2 linked regions of the Nothobranchius furzeri genome follow. The main gene of each other region encodes a partner of the protein of the gene in region 2 in a complex. Links are inferred from orthologs where the notes say so. Each region holds a gene or a part of one and is shown on either strand. Other genes may lie near its edges.

The links. The genes of interacting proteins can lie anywhere in the genome.
Region 1: strip1 (region 2) and programmed cell death protein 10-B share a complex: the UniProt entries of both Homo sapiens proteins name them as parts of the core of STRIPAK complex. The link is inferred for Nothobranchius furzeri from reciprocal best matches to the Homo sapiens genes STRIP1 and PDCD10.

Annotation. Positions count from the first base shown.
Region 1 is NC_091758.1:24,840,044-24,848,303, forward strand, and holds the start of programmed cell death protein 10-B, read right to left. Parts: upstream 4,590-8,260; 5' UTR 4,152-4,589; intron 2,845-4,151; 5' UTR 2,708-2,844; coding exon 2,618-2,707; intron 1-2,617. Other genes in the region: inositol-3-phosphate synthase 1-A, read left to right, coding at 7,518-7,631, 7,717-7,878. UniProt on the Homo sapiens protein: Promotes cell proliferation. Modulates apoptotic pathways. Increases mitogen-activated protein kinase activity and STK26 activity. Important for cell migration, and for normal structure and assembly of the Golgi complex.
Region 2 is NC_091743.1:46,750,802-46,758,271, reverse strand, and holds part of strip1 (striatin-interacting protein 1 homolog), read right to left. Parts: coding exon 7,430-7,470; intron 7,339-7,429; coding exon 7,275-7,338; intron 7,188-7,274; coding exon 7,116-7,187; intron 7,008-7,115; coding exon 6,933-7,007; intron 5,747-6,932; coding exon 5,649-5,746; intron 4,428-5,648; coding exon 4,301-4,427; intron 4,217-4,300; coding exon 4,116-4,216; intron 4,029-4,115; coding exon 3,962-4,028; intron 2,924-3,961; coding exon 2,819-2,923; intron 2,700-2,818; coding exon 2,495-2,699; intron 1-2,494. UniProt on the Homo sapiens protein: Plays a role in the regulation of cell morphology and cytoskeletal organization. Required in the cortical actin filament dynamics and cell shape. Part of the striatin-interacting phosphatase and kinase (STRIPAK) complexes.

The DNA of each region.
Region 1 (8,260 bases), on a different chromosome or scaffold from region 2:
TTGAGTGATTTCTGCCGGTTTTGCAAGAAGAATGTGTGCACAAAGGGCAGTGTTTCCCCAGCCAGGCTATGCATTGTCTCCACCCCCTCTTCCCAGCCCTAACTTCTCCACTTACACGGACAACAGACGGCAGTGAAACAAACCGCAAGCCTCCCCTCTGCTGATACCAACGAGAAACTGTAGCAACCCCCGACCCCCCCCCTCTCACTATCCGGCCCGCGAAGCTTATCAAGTTTTCTGGGATGTTTACAGCCACACGGTTATGTTATTCGAACATTCCATCATAGTTCCAAAATTAGTTATTCCATTCCGTTACAAAGTTGACTCTACATCTTTTCTGGCCGTGACATAAGCGTGTTTCAGTCAGTATCATTTGGACGTTTAATAATTAAAATTTAGGCTGTTTATTACTGTAAAAAAATCTAATAAATACCATTACTGTAATAGAATATCATTAGTGGACATTCGCTTTGACACGTACATGAAGTCACCTAGTGGATGTACACTTACAACTGATTCACAACATGCTCTATGTTGAACTACACGTATCTAGTTGTCAAAATAACATTTATACATGTAACTGTAGACATGTACAATTATATCTAAATGGATTTTAAGGGAATTTTCTGTTACATTTGTTTTAACAAATTAAAGACGTCCGACCGCAACCATTTTTAGCCGTGGACACCACGTTGCCGTTGTGATTAATGTTTGCTGTTAGCGTCAACCGACGCTGTGTTTGTTTTGCTAAGCCGAGCGCTTGATTCTATCGTCAAAACTAAAGCTTGGTTTATGCTTGACGCATTCACTTTCCGCTTGGTGATGCAGCTTGCGGATGGAACGCGCTTCACAACTCGCAGCGTTTATGGTTCATGCGGCATGTCTCTGCGGTGAGCCAATATTCTCCCAAACTGTAGGGGGCAACATGGAGCTCTACGGCATGCATCCAACACTACACCATAGTAGAAGTAAAAATTACTGTTGTTTAAAACATGGCATTCCAGCATTTTTTAACAGTGTCCTCATCTTTTCTGACAGTGCGAGCTATTTCTCTCCAAGAATTATTAACAACATGTTTATCACGGTGATCTTTGAGAGCTGAATCGTACAAATGTCTGTATTTACGAACCTCTGCCATAACTAGTTCTTGCCGGTCCGCCATGTTTTTCCGCATCCGACCGACCGCGTGGTTAGAAAATTTCCTTGGTGCGCGGTGCGGAAATTTTAGGCCGTGCGGAGGCGCGGTGGAGGGGCGTGGTTGTTAAAATGATGCAATTTCACCGCGTGGGGCCGTGCGGACCTCGCGGACGCGTCAAGCTTAAACCAAACTTAAGTCCCACCCTACAGCACAGTACTGACTAGGGATGAACGATTTAGGAAAATAATCTAATTGTGATTTTTTTTCTATATTGCAATAGCGATTTAATTCACAATTATTTTCTCAAGGGGCTTTTCTCATATTTTTCAACAGAAGCAAAAAAAACCCTATGTAACTTGCACTGAATATGAACAAGTTTATGTATCTACATATATATCTACATATCATATCAACAAGTTTATTTGTCTACATAAATACTAACAAGTAACAACAACATTTTGCATTTGAAGTTGCGATGCTTTGCAGCCAGGAGCACATCCCTTGTAGGAGCATAGGTATTAGCATCAACTGTGAAAATTGATTTGTAGGAAAGAAGTGTGTCCCATTTATTGGTCTTTTGTGTTTACAGTTTTTGACGTCTGGTCCATGCAGAGCTTCCATAGTTCAGCTACGTTCATAGCTGCTAGCCAAAACTCTGTGGAGTTTAAGTCTCTTACAGTTTTTTGAGCTTTACTAAAATATCTGTCTGTACTTATTTGATTAATGGCAGTTTTTACTTTTTTATTAGTGTCCAAATGTAAATATTTGGCACGTTCCTAAGCCATAATTTGTAAGAATGTAATCTGCAATATTAGCATTAGCATCCCTATGGGCTTTTCTATGTATATTAGCATTGCGCTAACCACTTGCTGCCAGTCAAATCGCAGCCTTTGCGATTAGAAAATCTCCTTTTGTCACATCGCAATTTAATTGCATATGCAATTAATTATTCAGCCGTAGTGCTGACACACGATTGGTCCGGCCTATTTTAGGCCGGAGGTCGGACGGTTTGAACTGGAACGGTACAAGATGGATTCTCCTGAGTTTGGAAAACTCCAAATCTCGCGAGGATTCATCTTGCAGTGCAAGGTTACATTTCAGTAGGAATTAGACGACGGGTACACTCATATTGACTTGATGTGATAAAGAACAAATGACATTTCCTGCCAAAAGTGGTGTAATATTTATGCAATATTCACATTTTTGGAGACATTGAAATATAGGTTTCTATTATCTGTATGAGACAATAATCAAAATTACAAGAACTATAGGCTTGAAATGGTTCATTTTATGTGAAATGACTATTTAGGTGCTTCGCTTTCTGAAATGAGTGACAAAATATATTACACTGCTTCATAATAATCTAATTGTTTCAGGTGTGCCCACATTGTTCTGATACATTAACCTTAAATTCTGTCACTCATCATATTCGTTTTTTTTTATTAAATAAAGCAACATATTTGACATTGGAAGGCTTACCTCCTTAAAAACGGGATACATCACAGCGTAAAGCGTCATGGATACCATGGAGTTTGTCTCCGCTTCATTCTTCATCTCCTCCATTGTCATCCTCCAGTGGAGGAGTAGCTCTTGTCAAAATGATGAAGAGGAAACTGCTCCTCAGCCACACTCACTCTCTCTCTCACACACACACACACACGCACACACACACACTCAGAAACCAAGCAAGTTCCAGAGATAAGAGCCTGAAAAATAAAATAGAAAAAGGACATTTTTGGGAAATGAATGAAGTTATATCTGCTCATATTTTCTTTTTACGTTGATGGAATGCAGAACATGCATCAGTTACAATGTGACTGAATTAAATCACAGTAGTTAATCTGTCACAGTTCGGTTTAAACATGGGTTTGGATGATCACACATCCCTGATAATTGTAGTTAGACGTTTAAATTTGAATAAGAACTGGATATGTCACATGATTTTGCAACAATCTTGAAAATCGACTGCCCTGACTATTTATCTTATTCAAACACAAAAATAAGCACTACTTCCTCACCCAGATAAATTTCATTATAATAGAACACAAAACATTTGCAAAAGAAGCTGCAGATAAACCAGGCTTTAAAAAAATACAATCTAAATATGCTCTTTCTAATGATGTGATTGTTCAATAACAAGATTATGAATGAAAATCAATAATAATCTTAAATCAATTATTTTTATGATTAGCAATCAACATGTACGATTAGAACATCCATAAAATTAAATCATGTCAGTTTATCACAAACATGTCATTACACACCCTCACATACATCTTTACACTCACCAGTACTGACCGCCTAATCTATCCTGTTCTGGTTAATAATGAGGAAGTGATCCTTTGTATTCTGGTTTAATCTGAAGGAGGGGAGTGGTACAATCATACGTTTTATGTATGGCAGCACGGATTAAATGTCTACACAACAACTTCACTCTGAACAACAGGGACTATTTGGACACACTATAGCATCGTAGGCAAATGAGTTAAAACTGACAAATACTTGACAGAATAGATTAGGAGAGCTGAATGTAAATCATACGAATTTGATGTATTTTCAGCATGTTGTGTATTTGTGATTGTCCAGGTTTGTTATGGAGAAAATGACACATATTATTTTTTTTAATGGAGTGTCTGAAGTGACTGCTGGTTTACTGGAAAGCTAAACAAATCAAATGATAGCCTAAGGTAATGCTACAAGCTAGTAGAAGTATGGAACGGAAAACTAAACGGTGTTGGGTAAAACAGAGTAACCCGATTTATTTGTGATATCGGGGTACTACAATCAATTAACAAGTGTCTGTGTAACATTACATACTTTACGCGGTTTTATAATATTCACTCGAGGCCTCTAGCCGACTAGATCGATGGTAGCAGTGAACAGCGTTAGCTTCCGTGCTAGCTCAAGTAATGTGTAGGGTTGTCTTTACAAACGCGCTAAAACACGTCAACAAACTGCTTCATGACGGATACGTGCATTTATGTGTGCGTCCTAAAGGCGTACTCGTATCTACCTTTGGGCTGACTTCTTAAATAAGATGATTTTCCCGTCGATTGGCTTTTAGCTGCTGTGTTTTCTTTACAACTTAAGGCGGAAGTTTTTTAGGACTGGCCCGAGCGACATCTTCCGGACCGTTGCTACGTAAACACACGTTGTCCAATCAGAGAGCGGGGAGGCTAAAGTAACCGTGACGTAAGCCGGTAGCCTATTTAAGTAAGTATGATGAAAACGTAGCTTTACGTAGGCACATTACAGTTGTTCTGTGTTTAATTAAGATTTGTTTATGAGAAAATAAAAGCTTTTAGTTGTATTAAGAAAAACATGGCTCTCCAATTTTCTACATAGCAGCAAATATAAAGGTCAAAAGAGACAACAGAGGTCACATATATACATGAAAATGTTTTTAATCAGTGTTTTTTCTTATTACAGTAACACATTCTAATGACAATACCTTTTAAAAGGACTGCCAGAAGAAATACAGTACTGATTAGATCATTTGAAGGAAGGGATAGCTACATTGCCCTTTGATGCATAATGGTCACTACAGTGGACAGGTACTCAAAATAGTTTTTTTTTTGCTTGTTTATTTATTTGTTTGTTTGTTTGTTTGTTTGTTTTTGCATTAAGCACAGCTGTTGAAGACTTTATTGTATTTGAGCCCCTCCATTTGGACTTCAGTAAGTCAAGCCAACATATTTCATGTTCAGAATGCACGCTGTCCACTGAGGTGGACGTGTAATAATCCATTTGTAAATTATTAAATGTTTCAAAAAATATTTGTTGAAATTTGTTTCATTCACACCTAAAGATGAATGAAATTCATGGAAAAAAATTCATGGTTGAAGATTGCATAATTCATGCATCAAAGGGTTAATAATATGAGATTTTGCTGAAATATTTGCAATATAGTAAAAGGCTGAATCCGCTGGATTACATTAATGTTAAAAAAAACATTAATTTTTGAGTTTTGTGCAAAAATGTAAATATCTCATCTCCTATGCATGTCATGATCCGCCCCGGCCTCCCTGACTGTGTCTCTCCTGCCTTGATTAACCTTATTGTTCTCACCTGTCCCTCATTACTCTGCCCATGTGTTCCTGATTTCCCTGTGTATTTATACCTCCCTCCTTGTTGCTGTCTTCATCGGATCATTGTTGTTTGTTCATGTTTGTTTTGTCCGTCTCTCCCATTCTACAATTAAACCATTTTTATTTCATCCGTGCCTGCTCTTCTGCCTCCTGGAACCCTCCACCACACTTGGTCCACCATCTCCACCCTCACATCATGACGATGCATTTATTTTCAAGAACGAATTTGTTTCTATTCTGAATGAAAAATAGCCAACTTTATGCATGCACCAATGACATTTTTTTAAAACCGAAACACCCAATGTTAAAGTTTCAATGAATGCAAATAATGCTTCTTCTGTTCAGTCTTGTTTGGTTTCAGTTATAGACTGAATGGAAGTTTAAAAAAATACATTAGCAAGATGCATATCAGTTTTTCATGTTTTGTTAAAAGCTGTTGTAAATTCCAGCAGGCCATTCCCATTATGTCACGTTTATCCCTAGCCTGGCCTGCCAGACTTGTTCACTGTGTAATTCTACACAGAGAACTATAAGGAAGCATAGGGAAGCGTGGGGCTGGCTGGCCAGGCCAATATCTTCTTATGTAATTTTGTGTTGGTTAAAAAAATATCTTGAATCTCTTACTTATCTTGTTTTAAAGGAATGTAAAAGGCTGTGGACAGTGACACACTGAAATGTGAGGTCAGGCTCCAGGTTTCTGAAGCCTGCAGGTACATATGACCTCAGAGCACATTTTTCTCTGGAGACAGAATACTTGTCTTTAATTCATTAGAAACAAAATGATGCTATCCTAACCAGCAGGATAGGCATCAATCTTCCTATGCTTGAAGTTTACATTAAATAAACACAAAAATTGTAAAAGTAAATTATTAATGTCCAATCCATAGACAGGGACATAAGGACGAAACTGAAGCCCAAATGCCCCCTCACTCTTTACAAACCTTTCTGCTGCATGCTTGTATGTTTATTTATTTATTTTTTCTTTAAACTTATTTTGCAAAATAGAAACGTCATGTTTTAAAAACACAATGATTGTGTATGGGCAGTTTTAGCCCCACATCCAACCTTGAAACAGGACCGTTTGACTCCACTTTATAGCAACAGATGAAAGTAGATGCCTTATTTATTTATGTCTGAGTAAAACCCCAGTAAGGTTTTATCTTGAGGGCGATATGATTGGCTGAACACAACACCCAGAAAGATGTAAAATGTAAAACGTCTTTAATGCTTGTCAGAAATAGGGGGGGGGGGGGGGACTCAGAACACAGTTTTACTAGAACACTCCTCTAAAGCATATAAACAAACATCGTATTTTTTTAGAATAAACAAAAGAAACAAGACTCAAAGAAATTGAAGAAATGCAGCAAAATAAGTAGTTTTGGTCTCAAAACGTTCAAAAACAGTGTTCTCCTTTAAAAAGCGACAACTTTGGAAGTCGGGTTGAAAGGACAAAGACAGCAGACGCTGGAATTTTCCACTCTAGGATGAGAATCACTGTTGTTATGCATACTGCTGTTATGCATGCAACATCTTAATTAAATCAATAATTAACTTCGATTTTACCACTCATTTGCACTGAAACTAATTAATAAATGTAAATTAGTTTGTTAATGTGACATGTTATTATCCATTCGCAATTGAATCTCTGACCTCCACGATAGCTGTTCAGGTTTTATTGTGCACCCATGACTGATCTAGTTGACTGATCTAGTTTCAAAAAGCAAAACGACCACCTAAATAATATTTTTATATAACTATTTGCCATGCTGATTAAAAGGGAAATGCTGCGTAAAAGTCAAAGATCGGTCGAATTGGGTTACATGGTAAACACATTTATCACAGACACTTTGTATTTTGCAAATCTGGAAATATCTACAAATAAAACGTTGATGGAAGATTTTTCTATTTTTTTATGTACTGAAACATCTAGAACGGATTAGTTTCGCTGCGCAGTGGTCCCTCCTCTCCGACGATGCTGGAGTGGAACGACGCGCTGCCATTGGCTGTTGCTGCCACGCGGCGTCCTTTGTCTGCTTCCCGCAGGCTTCATAAAGCGGTGGGACGTGACGATTAGCCTGTAACGGTGTGAAACTGACCCAAGAGAAGTCATCCGCACCAGCAGACGCGCCAGAGTGGAAAATTCCAAGCGGACAACTTACAGAAAGACAAGAAATCTTCTTCGAAAGGTGAGGGATCCTTCATTGCCAGTCAGGTAGTGTTGAGCTTTTTCACGCTTTCTTTGAAATTAAGTGAAATAAATTCAAACGTGTCTGTGTGCAGATTCTGCAGCCATGTCCGCGAACATCCTCATCAACAGTCCTAACCTGAAGTACACAGACACACACATAGAGGCGCAGTATTCTTATCAAACCACATCAGTGCACCAGGAAGGGAATAAACTCACGGTCAGTTCACAAATGTTCACTCTGGTGCGTAATTACGCACGCGTAAAGTTTCTACGGTTCACACCGCTTCTGTTCTGGAATGCAGGTGACCCCTAGAACAACTGAGATGATTTTCCGAACCGAGCGGCACGTTCCGAGGCTTGGTGTGATGCTTGTGGGCTGGGGAGGCAACAACGGAACCACTGTCACAGCCGCTGTGCTGGCAAACAAGCTGGGTCTTACCTGGAGGACCAAGAACGGAGAGAAGGTGCGGTTTTAATGAAGAAGTCTGCTTTAACTATCTACCCTCAACCAGTTTGAATAAGAGAACCTAAAGCCAGGTGTGTTATGGACACATGCTCCCAACTATCTGTTATAAACTGGTTTTATTATGTTTTTCTTAAAAGTAAAACTTTTCCAGTTCTTGGGACATTTTCATATAGACATTAGCAAAGAAGTTGGACTAAGTCATCACAAGTCACAACTGTCTTGACTCATGTTCTTGTTCTAAACTTTTAAAATTTTATACTAAACAAGTAATTTGGGATTTCGGCAGCAGGTGTTGTACCGTCTGTCGTGGTGAAGAGAGAGCTGAGCCAGAAGGCAAAGCTCTCGATTTACCGGTCGATCTACGTTCCTACTCTCACCTA
Region 2 (7,470 bases):
GCCATTAGTTTTGTAACATGAACTAGGGCTGGGCAACATGACCTAAAAACAACATCACAGTATATAGAGGATTTCACCTCGATAACGATAAATGGACGATAACTACAGATATGCGCAGAAACAAAAGTTGTCCACTAGATGGGGCTGTCACGTGTATTACGTTGTCACATTTTACAGCTTCTTAAAGGGACATGAACGTTGCCAACCTCCACACATCTTTTCATTGTTTTATTATCAAATTTACTGACACATCTCTGTCTGTCTGTCTGTGCTGGTGCACCCCACGGTGGGTCAGACTATCAAGGATCACCTGATCGGAGCGCAGTGAAACAATTCTTTGCCAGCACAGCAGAGGGCGTAGCACTTTTCTGAGGTATCCTGCCATCCCTGCAGTCACATCCCTTGTACGTTTATGCATTTCAGTCTTTTTAACACGGACACATTTGTCCCTCGTCAGACATGGCAACCCCGCTGATTCAGATTGTCTCTCTTTCATTTTTTCTAAAGGAGTACAACACACTAGAGCTGGGTGATATGGCCTCAAATCTATATTGCGATATAATCTGAAGCATGTGCGGTAACGATATACCGTAAATCCTCTAATATTAGCCTATATTTAATTAACTGCCGGGTATCATAGTTTGGCCGGTGTCGGCGGAGGTGGATAATGGCCGTTTTTTTATTGTGGCCGGGCGGAATGTGGTAACAAGCAAGTACGGGGGGCGGTTGTGTCATCCGTCTCACTTTTGATTTGCCAGTGATAGACCGCGAGGGTAACTTTAACCGTGCGGAGACGAAGAGGAGGCGAAAATTTGATATCAAGTTCAAAGAGAACGTGCTGATTATGCTGCAGAACACTGGGGAGCAGTAGGGGTTGTATGAACTAGTCGACTTCACTATAGTGACTTTTTATGCCTGTCATCGACTAGTCGCTGTCACGTGATAATGACCGGCAAGATGCAGTCCACGGAAAAGACAGCAGCCTGCTGTCAGCAGGTGACAAGCTCCTGCGCGTCGGGAGGCAACATGCTGTGCCAGAGCGTCGGTACTGACACCCACCGTAAAACGGACATTTAACCAAATTGTGACCTTTCCCCTCTTGCAATTTTACCTTCCCCTCACCCCCATCCTAACCTTAACCAGCTTGCGCATGCAACACTCTGATTGTTGACGCGCTCCAGACATCTGCGTCCTGAGCACGGCCACAGTAACATTATCACATCAGGTGTGGCCACCTCAAAAACTAATTTAACACGTGATCGTTCATGTCGGCTCATTTCCTTTTATGTTTTCTGTCTTTTATTTGTGCCTGATGCTTTTCGCTGCTGTGGATCAGGGCGCATCACCTGTTTTGTCCTCGGTGACGCACCTAACTGATGTGGCCGGCGAGCACTCCGCTGTTTTTGCGATCGGTAGATCTTTTAGAACTGCAGTTCAAAGGTAACTCATAAGTGAATATATATGAACCCAGGTAGCAGTTTCTCTTTAGGATTGAGAGGAGATGCAGGAAGATAATCAACAGGCAGGACAGAAAAATAGTCAAATAAAAGCAAGTTAGTTTTTGTACCTGGTGGTTGCAACAAACAGACACCATTGAAGGTAATCAGAAGTGAGGAACAGAAAATGAAATAATTATTTTAATGTTTAGAGCAGCAGGAACTCTGAGAGGCTGCAGGCGTATCAGTGAGATTGCGGCCGCTGCGCAGGGAGAGGGGGGAGATGGCTGAAGCAGAAAATACCGTTGTTAAAAGAAATGTGTTTAACTTTGAAAATGTGGGCGCAATTTTAATTGTCAAAAACTCCAGCGAACCATTAGTTCATTTTGCTCAAATAGAAATAGAGGCCTGCCTCTAATTCTGGCCCTCCTTCCAATAAAGGCGTGGAACTTGATGAGCTTGAGTCAAATACAGGCCCGGGCCTGTATTAGAGGATTTACGGTATATTGCGATATATTTTTTTCCTCTGTTCATATATGTCAAAATGACATGCTTTTAAATATCCTCATGTGGCAAATATATGCCACTTGAGGCATATAGGCCTCCTCCTCCACCCACTCCATGCTTGCAGTCACTGCCATTCTGTTTCCCCAATGTCAGCAGGGTGCACATCTTAATGACGCCATGAGTTATTGCGATATACCAAAAAACTCTATCATTACCCAATTTTATATCGTTTCTACCTTATATCGTTTATATTGCCCACCCCTACAACAGACAACCCTCCATGAGAAGGAAATGTGTTTTAAGACAACCTTCCTTCTAACACGACTTGGACGTTAGACTGTTTCATGATTGTTTCACTATAAGTTTATTACTTAGTGTACCTTGAAAAGCATTTTATTTACATAAATCTCCTGTAAAATGAGAGCAAAATAAAAACGTGAAACTATAATTTAAATACGGACTGAACTAAGAAGAGCTTTTGAATTGTTTTGTAAATAAAAGTCAGACCCATCCATCCAGAGCAGGAGGACGAGGCTTTGGGTTTCACTCACCGTTTCCATATGCCCAGTCGTCGTTGAGTCTGTGTCGGACTTTCTGATAAATAGCAGACATGGTTTTCATGTTGCTCTTCCTCCACTGCCGGCCTAAGTATTTGGTCTGAACTTTGAGCAGCTTGAGGACATAGAGCTGCATCATGGCCTGCTTCACCTTCAGCGCCCTCTTCAGGATGGGAGCTGACTTAAACACGACCAGCATCTGGTGGAGAGAAGCAGATTACTAACACACACATGCACACATACACACACACACATGCACACATACACACACACACATGTGTCATGGGTTTTAACAGTTTCCACATGTACTTCTCTCACCATGGTTCTGGAGTGTTTCCATTTGGTCAGTTTGTTCAGGATCCTCAGCAGGTTGATACACGAGAACAGATTCCTCCAGCAGAACTGAGTGTTGTCTCCAGCTTCCTGCAACCCAGAGATCATTCAAAGGGGGAAAAAAATCTGAAACTACACAAAAGAGTTTTTAACCCTTGAAGCTATTGTGTTCAAACTAGTTTCAGTGGTTCTTGAGCCAGAAACTTCAGCGGTTTCACAGTGGACAGCACTCTACTGCCCAGAAACTGTGCAACATTTTGTGGTTCAGGTAAGAACACTAGTGGGAAATATTGACCTGCTTTATGCAAAAGCCGTTTATTAGGCTGGTAGCAAATACGATGGTTAGCTTTTTCAGTTTGCTGATCGTCAATAAAAAGCAGAAGTTGGGTTATTTTTGGTTGGAAGCACGTACAGTGCATACAAATGTTGCACTGTACGTGCTTCTCTTTTATCTCTGTAAAATAGATTATACATACGTTGTCGGCTTGCCGTGTCTTGTTTTTTCCGTTTTTTTTTTATTTTTACGAATCGACTAATCATGGCAGCACTAAACCAGAGTGAACATCAGCCCGACCTACACTTGTTTAACGGAGCTGAAGGAGGCTTTGAAATCACAGACTGATGGTGACCTGGCTTTGTTTCTGTTAGACTTGTAAAGATTTTTTTTTGTCAAACAGTGAAGATATTTCTACTTAATGGCATATTTTAGTATCAATAGCATATTCTACAGTAGCCAAAAATAGATCGACATAATGTTGCTATGCATTTTGGGATTTAGCCCTAGACAAGCAAGTGTGTATTTCGCATGGGTGCCTATGAATCAGAATCACTCTGGTCATCTCAAAGTTGCAGTTTCATCTCCTAAATACGTTCAAACAGGAAGGAACTAAGCACCGCTGTTGCATGCTTTGTTTGCATAGCATTAGCGCCCAGCTGCACTTATGCTGTGACACCAACTGCAGAATATGCTATTGGCTCATGCTAGCGGTAGCTTATTGTTAGCACCAACTACAGCAGGCAATGGCGGGGTTGTTTAGGACAGTTGTAGTTCTTTCAACCAGCAGGAGGGATGAGTGGGAAACGTATGAAGTGTTGCTTGAAGGCTACACGATGAGTCAGAAAACTCACCAAACTCTCTGCGGTCAGCTCAGGGAGCTCATGCACCACGCAGTGGGGGAAATCAAGTACAGAGATGCTGTTGAAGAGACAACCGTTCAGTTACGTCCACCATTACCAGGAAGTTATTACGACTACAAAACTAAAAATAAAAGCATGACAGCACCTGTTCTTAGCTGTGATGTAAGACATTATGTTCTGGTTGAAAAACTTCAGGATGAGTGGGATACAGTTGGCAAACACCAGGTGCTGAGCCATGTACTCAAACTACAAACACACACACGCTTAGTTAAGGTGGATTTGCCTCCGATGAAATACTTTCTCATCAATAAAGCACAGGAGGTGTTTCACCTGGTAGATGTGGTTCAGCTTGAAGTGCTTCAGCAGCAGCAGAAGGATGGCAGAAATGGCTTTAACAATGATTTCTTTGTGCCGGTTGACGTCGACACCCAGCTTCATGCTCTGTAGGACCGTCGTCCTGCAGGGGGAGACAGGAGACCAGATCCTCTCGGAATAAAAATCAAGCTCCTCCCACTTACATCCTCACTGTCTGTTACAGACTTTTTCTGGATATAAACAGTTTTTGCAGAGTTTTCTTTTCAAAATAAAACTGTTTTAGATAGTATGCTGGTCTTCAGTAAACCTAGGAGGTTCGAATGAAGGAAACTGGACTTCTTTGGTTCTTTGAAAACCTTTTGCTTTTTTCCACTTAGAACTGACAAAAATCTTGGGATGAGAAGCGAAACGTCTTCAAGGACCCAAAGAGTCCGAATAACTTTACCAATCACTCAGGAGGGTTCCTCTGGGGGTTTCCAGGAGTAGTGCATTGATAGAAAAAGGGGATAACAATAAAATGAATATATTTTTAAAAGGTATAAAAAGGTAATTTATCAGCATTATCTAAAGGTGTGGAACACTGAAAAGCCATTTTTTAATGATTATAATCAGTCACTTTGAGTTTCTCATGCAGCTTGAACATGAAAATAGTCTCCTACACATAGGGATGGATACCAAATTCGGTACTTCTTAAGGCACCGACCGAATTCAGTAGTACTGACTTAGTACCGATTCACTTTCATTTTTCAGTTTCATTTGTAGTTTCTAATACATGGTGTCCTCATCAGTTATTCCAGAGGGGAAAGGAGAGGATTAGGAGTACATGGAGCTGGGTTTGTTTTTGCATCATTTAGAAACAGTTGTTGTTAAAGGTTTTCATATTGAAGAATTTTGTACAACACTACGATGATAAAATACAAACAGTTGTATGTTATTTATCATGATATTAATCAAATATGGTTAAATATTGGGAAAATAGTATATATTTAATTAAAAAAGCAATTTGAATAGTTATTAAACACTCAAAAGTATCGAAAATTGATATTGTTAAGTACCGGTATCGATTCGTAGGTACCGGGAATTGGTACCATATCGATTCAAATGTCAAAGGTACCCATCCCTACCTACACCTATCTCCTGCATTAGCTTCTGATGGAAAATAGACAATGAGACTCTAGGATTTGAAAATAATGCTGTCAGGTTGTGTTATGCTATTTTATTCCTGCACCTCCTGTTCCAACACCCCCACCCCAGCAAGGTGTTCAGATGTTTGATGGCATGAGGGACAAAGTAGTTTCTAAGACTGGTCTGGGTTTGATGAGAACAACCGTTTTAGACATTAGTCAGTAAATTTTCCACTCACGGCATCTCCTCTGGCAGCACGTCTGCTAGGATGTTAATGGAGTCCGTTTTGGCTTTAGATGTGGGAGCAGCAGCCAGAAGGATCTTCAGCAGTGCAATCTAACATTTAGATAACAGAAAACATCATCTAATCATCTATTTAAGCTCGTTTAACTTAATCACACACACACGCACACACACTTCTTTGTTTACATTCAACTTTTCTACATTTTATTTTGTAGTATTTTACCTTTATTTATTACTTGTTTCTTCTAAATATTTATTTCAAGAAAAGTGTGTTCATTTTTTTAAAAGTTCAAAAGAACAACCCCCCAGGGGGAAATGAAAAATGTAGACCAGACAAAAGCGCAGGTCTCAGGATCTTAAATGTCAAACTCAAGTCGAAATAAATCGTATGCGTTTCCTAACTAATCCTACAGAAAGTATTAAAGTGATGTCATTGCCTAATCTTATAATTGTAGCTGATGTTTGGACTGGCTGCATTTCAGGTTCCTTCATATAGCTAATATAATTACCGTATTTTCTGGACTATAAGTCGCACTTTTTTTCATAGTCTGGCTGGTCCTGCGACTTATATACCAAAGTGACTTATATACCAAATTATGTATACCGCGGGCCGGCTCCGGACCAGGAATGAGCTCCCTTGCCCGCCATCACCTGCTGGAGACCGTGGCACGCTGCTGCAGGCCGGCTCCGGTCCAGGTTTCAGCTCCTCTGCCCCGCTGGGAGGGTTTCAAACACCGCCATCACCTGCTGCAGCCTGTGGCGGGGTGCTGCAGGTGCTTTCCCCACCCGCTGGGAGAGTTTGAAACACCGCCATCCTCTGCTGGAGACCGTGGCGCGCTGCTGCGCCCTGGTTGTTTATTCTGTTATTGTTACTTGTACTTGTCTTAAATGTGAAATGCTTGGTCTCAGACTTTGTAAAAAATAAAAAATTTAAAAAAAATTCCCCCCAAAATGTGACTCATAGTACAGTGCGACTTATATATGTTTTTTTCTTCTTCATTATACATTTTGTGGCTGGTACGACTTATACTCCGGAAAATACGGTACTCATTTCAGGAGATTCTTAATCTATTCTAGTTCGACACAGGTTGTGTGTGATGAATAAGCCCAGGAGAGAGCCGAGAACAGCCATGTCTATAATGACGTAATAATTACTTCCAAACAAGAGTCAGTTTAAGCTGAGATCTACAGCTGGAGATCCTGAACAGTCACCATACAGTGAGGTTTTATTAGTGAACATTCACAGTAGCTGAAAGTAGACCCTGTCTGAAGAACCAACCATGTATTGAGGCAAACTGGGCAGGATTCCCTGATAGAGAAGCTCAGTGGAGCACATCTCCACTTCTTCTTCTCCCTGAAAAGAAAAACAGAAAGGACAAGAACTGTGACCCTTCAAGCCCTCTGCAGATTACTGTTCAGGCCGCAATCAGGGTAAATTATTAAAGATTTGCTTTCCACTCACAACAGAGAGGGGAGTTTTCTGGTATTCCTCCTCCTTTGCAATCTGGATTTCTGCTATGGAAATATACTTATGCTGGAAAACCAAAGGGAAAAATAATCATTTAGTAACAGGTGTGTTAGGCTGCCCTGCAGCAACAGCTCCACAAACCTGTCAGCTTACCTGCTTTAGTGTCTTGATGCTCTCGTGAATGGGTCTGGGCAACCCAACCACTGTGTCAGTATCACTGCAGGACACAAAAAGCAGCTTTACGCTCCCACATTATGACGTTAAACAAAGCTGTTCTCAAGTTTGGAGCTGCTTAAAATCAAACCCACCTGCCGAGAGTGTAACCGATGAATTTACTTCTACTTGACTC